Linked DNA regions of Mus musculus. The protein of the gene in region 2 interacts with the protein of the main gene of each other region in a pairwise test. Links are inferred from orthologs where the notes say so. Each region holds a gene or a part of one and is shown on either strand. Other genes may lie near its edges.

Region 1 (3,914 bases), on a different chromosome or scaffold from region 2:
GGACAGCCAGGGCTACACAGAGAAACTCTGTCTCAAAAAAAAAAAAAAAGGTGTGCTCCACCACACTCAGCCTTTGTTTTGTTTTCTGATGTGCTGGGGCTCACAGGTAAGAGTCTGCCTAAGCTTCAGAGACTCTGTTTAGACTGTTCGAAACGTTTGAAATTGAACTAAATCCAGTCCATAAATTTGTATTATAGGATAACTATGAGCTTATGAGGACCAAGGATGGAAAGTTTGGCTAAAAAGTATGATGTTTGGTCATAAGTTGACAGGGATGGACTTGTGACACAACTGTCTACTTAATAGAATTATACTAGAAGGCAAAGTTGAGCATGTCTGTGAGCTTTCAGATTGGGTCAACTGAGGTGGTAGGATCCATGTAAAAAAGAAACTAATCCTTACTCCAATAGGAAGCCTTCCTAATCACGTGACATTATTCTCCCTCCCTTTACCATCCTTTGACACCTCCCCAGAATATCACTTGCTGAAAGTCCTCTCCAGACCTCTCTCTACTGTCTCGACCCACGCTCCTCACCTGACTCCGAGCAGTCTTAAAGGGTGTAGCGTTAACCATGTGGCACTTCCGGATGCCACTCCATCTGGTCCGGTAGTTGACGATGTAGCAGGGGGGGAGGACGTACTCATCGTACAGCACATCACCATTGTAATTTACAATGCTGCATCGAGCCAGGGAACTAACGCGTCCCTTGGGTCCTGTGCCCACCATTTCACAGTCTATTGCCACCATCTTCCCTGGCAAGTTTTGGGGGACTGTAGGGCACTTATCTTCAGAACGAGCTTGGGTGGAGTTCGGTACAGCATTTTTCTTCAAGGGCTTCTTCTTGGAGCCTTTATCCTTTGACTGAGCTTGGGTGGAGTTCTCTGTAGCAATTTTCTTTTTCAAGGACTTCTTCTTGGAGCCCTTCTTCTGGGTGCTCTTAGTCTTTGGAAGGGCACTCTGAAACTCCCCTAGCAAATCTATTTTAGACACAACAGAAGCAGTCTTCTTTGAAGGAGCAGGGGTCAGCCAAGACAATGGTGCTTTCTTGTCTTTGGACTGCTCTGAGTCCCTCTTGGAGGCAGCTGCCTCTTTCTTCTTTGGGCATGGAAGGATCTTCAAAATGCCATCTACTCTTGAAGTTTCCCCTTTCTTTGGAGGTTCTGAGTTCAACTTAGACACCTTGTTAGGGGGTTGGTTCTTTTTATTCAGAAATCCTTTCTGTTCCAAGAACCTTCGCTTCTTGACAAAGCGTTGATGTTTGGCATTTCCTCCAAATGCCTTTTTCGAAGGTTGCCCAAAGTCTAAATTCAGGAGTATGGTAGACATGAGATCAGTGGATGGTGGGAGGAAGCTGGGAAGAATGGCTCACTGATAGCAAAAGGATGAGAGGCTCATCCTCTGTGGAATCCCATAGTTCAACATGTGGAGGTCTGCAATCAGCCTTGGGGACAAAGTAATCCTGATTCCCGCACCATAGGCCTGAGAGAAAAGAAGATCAGTTCTGGAAGACATAAGTGATAACTTCCACAAGCCCCAAAGCCCGGCTAACTACTGAAGCCTCCACAATTCACCTTTAGGTTGGTCTTAAAAGGGTTATTTCCCTTCTCCGGATCTCTGTGCCATTTTAAAAACTAAAGATGCTGGGGCTGGAGAAACGCCTTAGTAGTTATAACCTTGTTGCTCTCGCAGAGATATTAAGTTCAGTTCCAGGCACCCACGTTGTAGTAGTTCACAGCATCTGTACCTCCAGCTTCAGAAAAAACTAGATGCCTTCCGATCTCTGCAGGCCCCGGGCAATTAAACGATACACATACATAAATACAAACAAAACACTCAGACAAATAATAAATCTAATTACATAAAATGAGGGTGCTGAGGCTGCGGATAAAAAGATGTGGGACCCACGGAGATCGACTCTATCATGTCTATGAAGTCAAAACAAGGGCGTCAGATGAGACTTTTAAGTACCAGTGGTGAGAAGAAACAACACAAATACCCTCTGGATCACCCAGGAATTCTCAGCGTGCTACGAAATGAAGACCAAATCCAGGTGTCGCGCTCCCTCGGCTCCACGTGGGGGCGATCTCCTCACATACCTTACCTGTCTCCCACAGTAAGGACACAGTGGAGGGCCAGCCACCTCGGCCACCACATTCTTGACGATCCACGAACTATTCCCGAACACCCTATACACCTACCTCCAAGTTGGTTCCCCACTAAGATCGCAAGCGTCCGAAGCCGGATGCAGGCGCAGGCGCGCGCCGACGTATGCCGGGACGGCAAGAACGCGGGCGACAACGGGAAGGCGGCCGGCGCGCACGCGCCCGCAGCGCCCCCACCTCAGGCAGCGAGGCCAGCGACTCGGAGTGCGTGAGCAGCGGGAACGGCGGTGGCGGCGGCGGCGGCGTGGGTGGGGGCGGGGGCGGGATGCGCTCCCCGGCCCCTCGGGCCCCGTGGAGGTACAACTCGAAGGTGGTGGGCCGCGGGAAGCGGAACAGAGTGCGCCGGAACCGTGGTCCCACTTCCGGGAGGGAGGGTGGGACCTGCAGCTGACCCCCTCGCCGTAAGCTGGTGCTGGGCGCGCTTCTGTGACGTCTCCGAGTCCCCTGCGGCTGCGCAAATGGCTTGGCCCAGTGGAAGTCGTGACGTTGGGCAAGTGCGCCTTGTTCTAAGGATTTGTAATAGGACGGGATCGCCCTGAGAGGTGTCGTCGGGCGGGTTCGGAGTTCTTGCTTTGCGTCGGGCGTGCAGAATTGAGTCCGGTTTGGGTTGCATGGTTTCGTGGTACCGACCTTGTGTCTCCTCACCTCCTCCCTCCTTGCACCGACATTTCACGCCACAGGATGCGGGGCGTTTCAGCCCATGGCCTCTCGCATGAGGAGAGAAGGCAACTGGCTGTGGACCTCACCCGCGTCCTAGCTCACTACCGTTCCATCCTGGACGCCTACATCATCGTGAGGCCACCGGGCTGAGGGCGGGGTGCTTCTTGGGGGGCGGGGGGTGAATAGGAGCCCACTGCAGAGAAAATGTGGAGACAGCTTTTATCTCTTCCTAATAAGGAACGCGTTGACTACTAGAATACTTTTCACCCAGCCTTCTGACTCTAATACTTAAGTTTTGTTTGTTTCATTTGAAACCCCACAACCAACATTTGGCCATGCTACAGTTGCATAGAAACATACGAGAAACGAGATGTTCCATAGGATATCCTCCACTAAAGGCAATAAAGAGTGGGTTGGGGAAGAGGAAGTGCTTGGCCAAATGTGGTGTACCCTTGTAATCCTGTCACCTAAGAAGTAGATGCAGGAGAATCGGGAGTAAAAGGTTCCCCTGGGCTACAAAACAAGTTCTAGGGCAGCCTGGACTGGACGATGTTACTTTAAAAAAGGAGGGGAGGGAAACAAAACAGGGCAGACATACATAAAGTTACCTTTCTGTAATCTCGCCCCTCAGAAGACTAAGGCAGAATTGTCTTGACTTGCAGCCAGCTTAACGAGTGTTGAGACATGTCTCATTTCCCCCCAACTCCCCCCCACACACACAGAAGAGCACCAGCAAGGCTTGTGGGTGGGGTGATTCTCAACCTTCGTGATCCTACATCCATCCATTTAGTACAGTTCCTCATGTTGTGATCTCCAACTATAAAAGTATCTTTTGTTGCTACTCTGTAACTGTAATTTTACTACTGTTATGAATCGTAAATACCTGATATGCGGGATAGCTGAAGTGTGAACCCCCAAAGAGGTCCCAACCTACAGGTTGAGAACCGCTGTTTTAGGGTAAATGTTTGTCTAGGACTAACAAGATGGCTATGTGGTTAAAAGCATTTTTGTTTGTTTGTTTTTTGTTTTTTCGAGACAGGGTTTCTCTGTATAGCCCTGGCTGTCCTGGAACTCACTTTGTAGACCAGACT
Region 2 (3,814 bases):
AGGACCACAAACCCATCTACCCACTGCAAGGTCTTCCCTAAGCTATACTATGATCCATAGGCATGCCAGACTCAGACCTATGTACACAGCAAAGCACGTTTTCATTTTTCGAGGCAGGGTTTCTCTGTATAGCCCTGGCTGTCCTGGAACTCACTCTGTAGACCAGTCTGGCCTCGAACTCAGAAATCTGCTTGCCTCTGCCTCCCGAGTGCTGGGATTAAAGGTGTGTGCCACCACGCCCGGCCTAAACTTTTTTTCTTAAACTTTATAAATTTTTCTTTTTCTTTTTTTAAATTACTGCGCCCCGGCCCGGCCCCGCCCACCACCCAGGCCCCGCCCACCACTGCCATTGCACACAAAGCACGTTTTTCTAAACTTAGAGACCCAATTTGAAGTCTTTAACATTCAGGATGTTAAGAAAGCTTCCTGAAGCTTTTTCCCTCAGATAATCTGGTCACATAGAAGCACAGAGAGCAGAATTAGGGAGCCCAAAGACAACACGGCGAATAGAAAGAAGAGCTTTGCACCTTCAGAGCCCTGCACCACCCCACCCCTGGCTTGTGCCCTGATGCTGAATTCTTTTGGCTAAGGCTAGTTCACCTATGTCCTGCCGACCTGTCTGTGGGGACTCACCACTTGACGTCATCGTTGTGGCCCGCGTAATGCCTCTGCAGCTGCTCCTCCACATTGTAAAGCACCACGACAGACGCAATGAAGTACACGGTCTCCCCGGTCGGGAGCAAGTACAAGTTATTGCGACAGTCTCGCCCCCGGTACCCGTAGCTTAGTGTATGTCAAGATGAAAATCCTTTGCTTTTAAGAGCTGGAGAACTACCGCTTCATTCAACAGGCCCAAAGATGCTGTGAAATGGTGCTATCAGTTTAACCAATTTAGACAACGCTGAACTGAGAACGTGCTGGGTGCAGTGGCGCGTGCTTGTGAGCCTAAACAGATCTCTGTGAGCTCCAGGCCAGCTGGGGCTGCATGGTGAGAGAGGCCATGTCTCAAACAACAGCAAAATTAAATAGATTCTGACACTCAGTGCCCAGTGGACCTCAGTACCTACATACCTAAAGACAAATTTTAAGTGCTCTGTAATAATATGAACACAACATTTTGCAGTGCTGGGAATTGAACCCAGGGCTTTTCCCGTGTTAGGCAAATGCTCTCAGGCTGTGCTTGAGGCAGGTGATCACGGGGTAGCTCAGGCTGGCTTTAGCTCAGATCTTCCTGCCTCAACCTCCCTTGCTCTGGAGTCACAGACATGTCTGGCTACACACCAGGTCTGGTATGAACATTTTTTTTAAAATGAAGACTTTTTTGATTTTTAGAAGCTATTGAGCCAAACAGCTTTTACTGTCTGCAATCTAGGAGCTAAATCTTTTTATTAAACATCACTTTGAAATGATACAAGTACTTATAAAGAATACAAATGTCACTCAAATGTAACAAAGGTTTCAAAATTAATTAACCTGTAACTGTTAATTAAGTTAATGAATTAACTAATGGTGCCCCAGAATTTTGGGGATAATTATCAATGGTTTTAAATTTTATTACACCTTATTTATTGTGTGTGCATGCAAGAGCACAGGGGCACAGGGGCCTGTGTACAAGTGAAGTCAGAGGATTAGTTTGCAGGAGTTGGCCCTCTCCTCCCATCAAGTGGATCCTGGAAACTGAACGCAGGGCTTCAGGCTTGTTAGCAGGTACCTTTAGCCACTGAGCCTTCTCATTGACCTAGTGTTAAAAATTTTCACATGTGTACTTTAAAAGAGCAAAGTGTTACTTAAACTTGAGTGAAAAAAAAAAAAACCCTGCCAAAATGCCATTTATTTGGAGCAAATTTTCTTGTTTCGAGTCTTTTAAAACACAAATAAGGAAGCATTCTTTGAATAACATTTTCCAGATTAGATTTTTAAAACTACTCAATTTAAAGAAGAGGCAGATCCCCTACCACGGCATGAGCCAAAATAGATGGCCAAACAACTTCTAATCTTTTGATTTCCATGAATATGATTCCACCATCTCAAATACTAATTCTTGTCAGCGAAGGCTCGGCAGCACCAACTTAAATCAACATGTCGGGATTGTCTTCAGAGCTCGACTTTATTCCTTGAGTGGCAGACAATCACTATAAACTTGATGTAGAGTCTTGGTAGGTGGGAAAGGCTGCTGCAGCCTTCCTCCATGGTGGAAATGAATACAGCATTGAACAACAGAGACTGACCACTAGCTCTTTAGGGGAGCGTAAGCTCATACCTATAACCCCAGCATTCAGGAGAGTGAGGCAGAAGCATTGCTGTGAGTTAAAGGCTAGGTTCATAGGAAGACCCTGTTTCAAAAAAACAAGTGGTTGGTTTGTTGAAATTATGATCATTAGAGTCCTGACATTTACCCAATTGTACTGGCTGGTTTTGGTTTTTTGAGACAGGGTTTCTCTGTGTAGCCCTGGCTGTCCTGGAACTCACTTTGTAGACCAGGCTAGCCTCGAACTCAGAAATCTGCCTGCCTCTGCCTCCCAAGTGCTGGGATTAAAGGCATGCGACACCACCCCAGCTTGTTTTGGCTGGTTTTGTGTGGCAACTTGACACTGGAGTTAGCACAGAGAAAGGAGCCTCCCTTGAGGAAATGCCTCCGAGATTTCCAGCTGTAAGGCACTTTCTCAATTAGTGATCAAGGAGGGAGGGCCTAACCCATTGTGGGTGGAGCCATCCCTGGGCTGGTAGTCCTGGGTTCTATATGAAAGCAGGCTGAGCAAGCCAGGGGAAGCAAGTCAGTAAGAAATATCCCTCCATCAGCTCCTGCCTCCAAGTTCCTGCCCTGTGTGAGTTCCTGTCCTGACTTCCTTTGGTGATGAACAGCAGTGTGGGAGTGTAAGCTGAATAAACCCTTTCCTCCCCAACTTGCTTCTTAGTCATGATGTTTGTGCAGGAATACAAACCCTGACTAAGACACCAATTTTAATGATTTTCACTAAGCTTGCTGCTTCTCTGTGACAGGCAGGCCAGACACTCATATTCCCCTGGCCCCCAATCCATCCATCTGTACAAAGATTGTTTCCATGGCGTCCTTTCAGGAAGACAGTGGGTACGCATTCGAACGGGAACCACAATCATGGGAACTTGCTCTGAAGCTGCCTCTCCTACATGGCCACATCTGAAATTTTGACTTTTTAAACAGCTAATAGTAAAATATTTAACTTTTATAAGTCTTTTACCAGGAGCCTTCCCTGACAGTCTGGTTGGCCAGTAAAGGATACACCCACTCCAGTTTCAGCCGCTTCGTTGGTAACTCAGCTTTTGCTTCCAAACTGTACGAATCCACTTGGTCTTTGGGCATGTACATGGTGACCGGACGGCCTCGAAGAAACATTTTTACATATCCTTCTTCTACAAAAACAGTGAAGGTGTCAGTGACATGCCTCGGGGCGCTCCGAAAGCAAACACCACAGTCTGGTTAGCTTGTAGGGCACACAGTGGCCGTCTCCCTTGTGCACCTTACATTTTTTTTTAAAGATGCATTTATTTATCTAACGTGTTGATTGGTACAGGAGTCACATGACACTTGTGATGCTCAAAGAGTGACTTTTGGGAGTTGGTTTTTGGCTTCCATCCCACAAGGTTCAGAATCTGGCTCACTCTGTTAGGTTTGGGTAAGTGGCTTTACCTGCTGAGCCATGTCTCTGGTCCCTCCACCCCACCCCCACCCCCATGTCCCTTTCAATTAGTTTTCCAGAGGAAACGAAACCCAACAGACAGGGGCTGGAGAGATGGCTCAGTGGTTAAGAGCACAGACTGCTTTTCCAGAGGACCC

The links.
Region 1: the proteins of Eml1 (region 2) and Isg20l2 interact in binary tests that used the Homo sapiens proteins (3 or more experiments, as listed by UniProt). The two-hybrid records come from large-scale screens. The link is inferred for Mus musculus from reciprocal best matches to the Homo sapiens genes EML1 and ISG20L2.

What each region holds. Positions count from the first base shown.
Region 1 is NC_000069.6:87,928,897-87,932,810, reverse strand, and holds the start of Isg20l2 (interferon-stimulated 20 kDa exonuclease-like 2), read right to left. Parts: upstream 2,498-3,914; 5' UTR 2,368-2,497; coding exon of another isoform or gene 2,244-2,367; 5' UTR 2,200-2,243; exon of another isoform or gene 2,092-2,199; intron 1,481-2,091; 5' UTR 1,328-1,480; coding exon 536-1,327; intron 1-535. Other genes in the region: protein RRNAD1, read left to right, coding at 2,845-2,955. UniProt on the Homo sapiens protein: 3'-> 5'-exoribonuclease involved in ribosome biogenesis in the processing of the 12S pre-rRNA. Displays a strong specificity for a 3'-end containing a free hydroxyl group.
Region 2 is NC_000078.6:108,506,055-108,509,868, reverse strand, and holds part of Eml1 (echinoderm microtubule-associated protein-like 1), read right to left. Parts: intron 3,391-3,814; coding exon 3,261-3,390; intron 784-3,260; coding exon 634-783; intron 1-633. UniProt on the Homo sapiens protein: Modulates the assembly and organization of the microtubule cytoskeleton, and probably plays a role in regulating the orientation of the mitotic spindle and the orientation of the plane of cell division.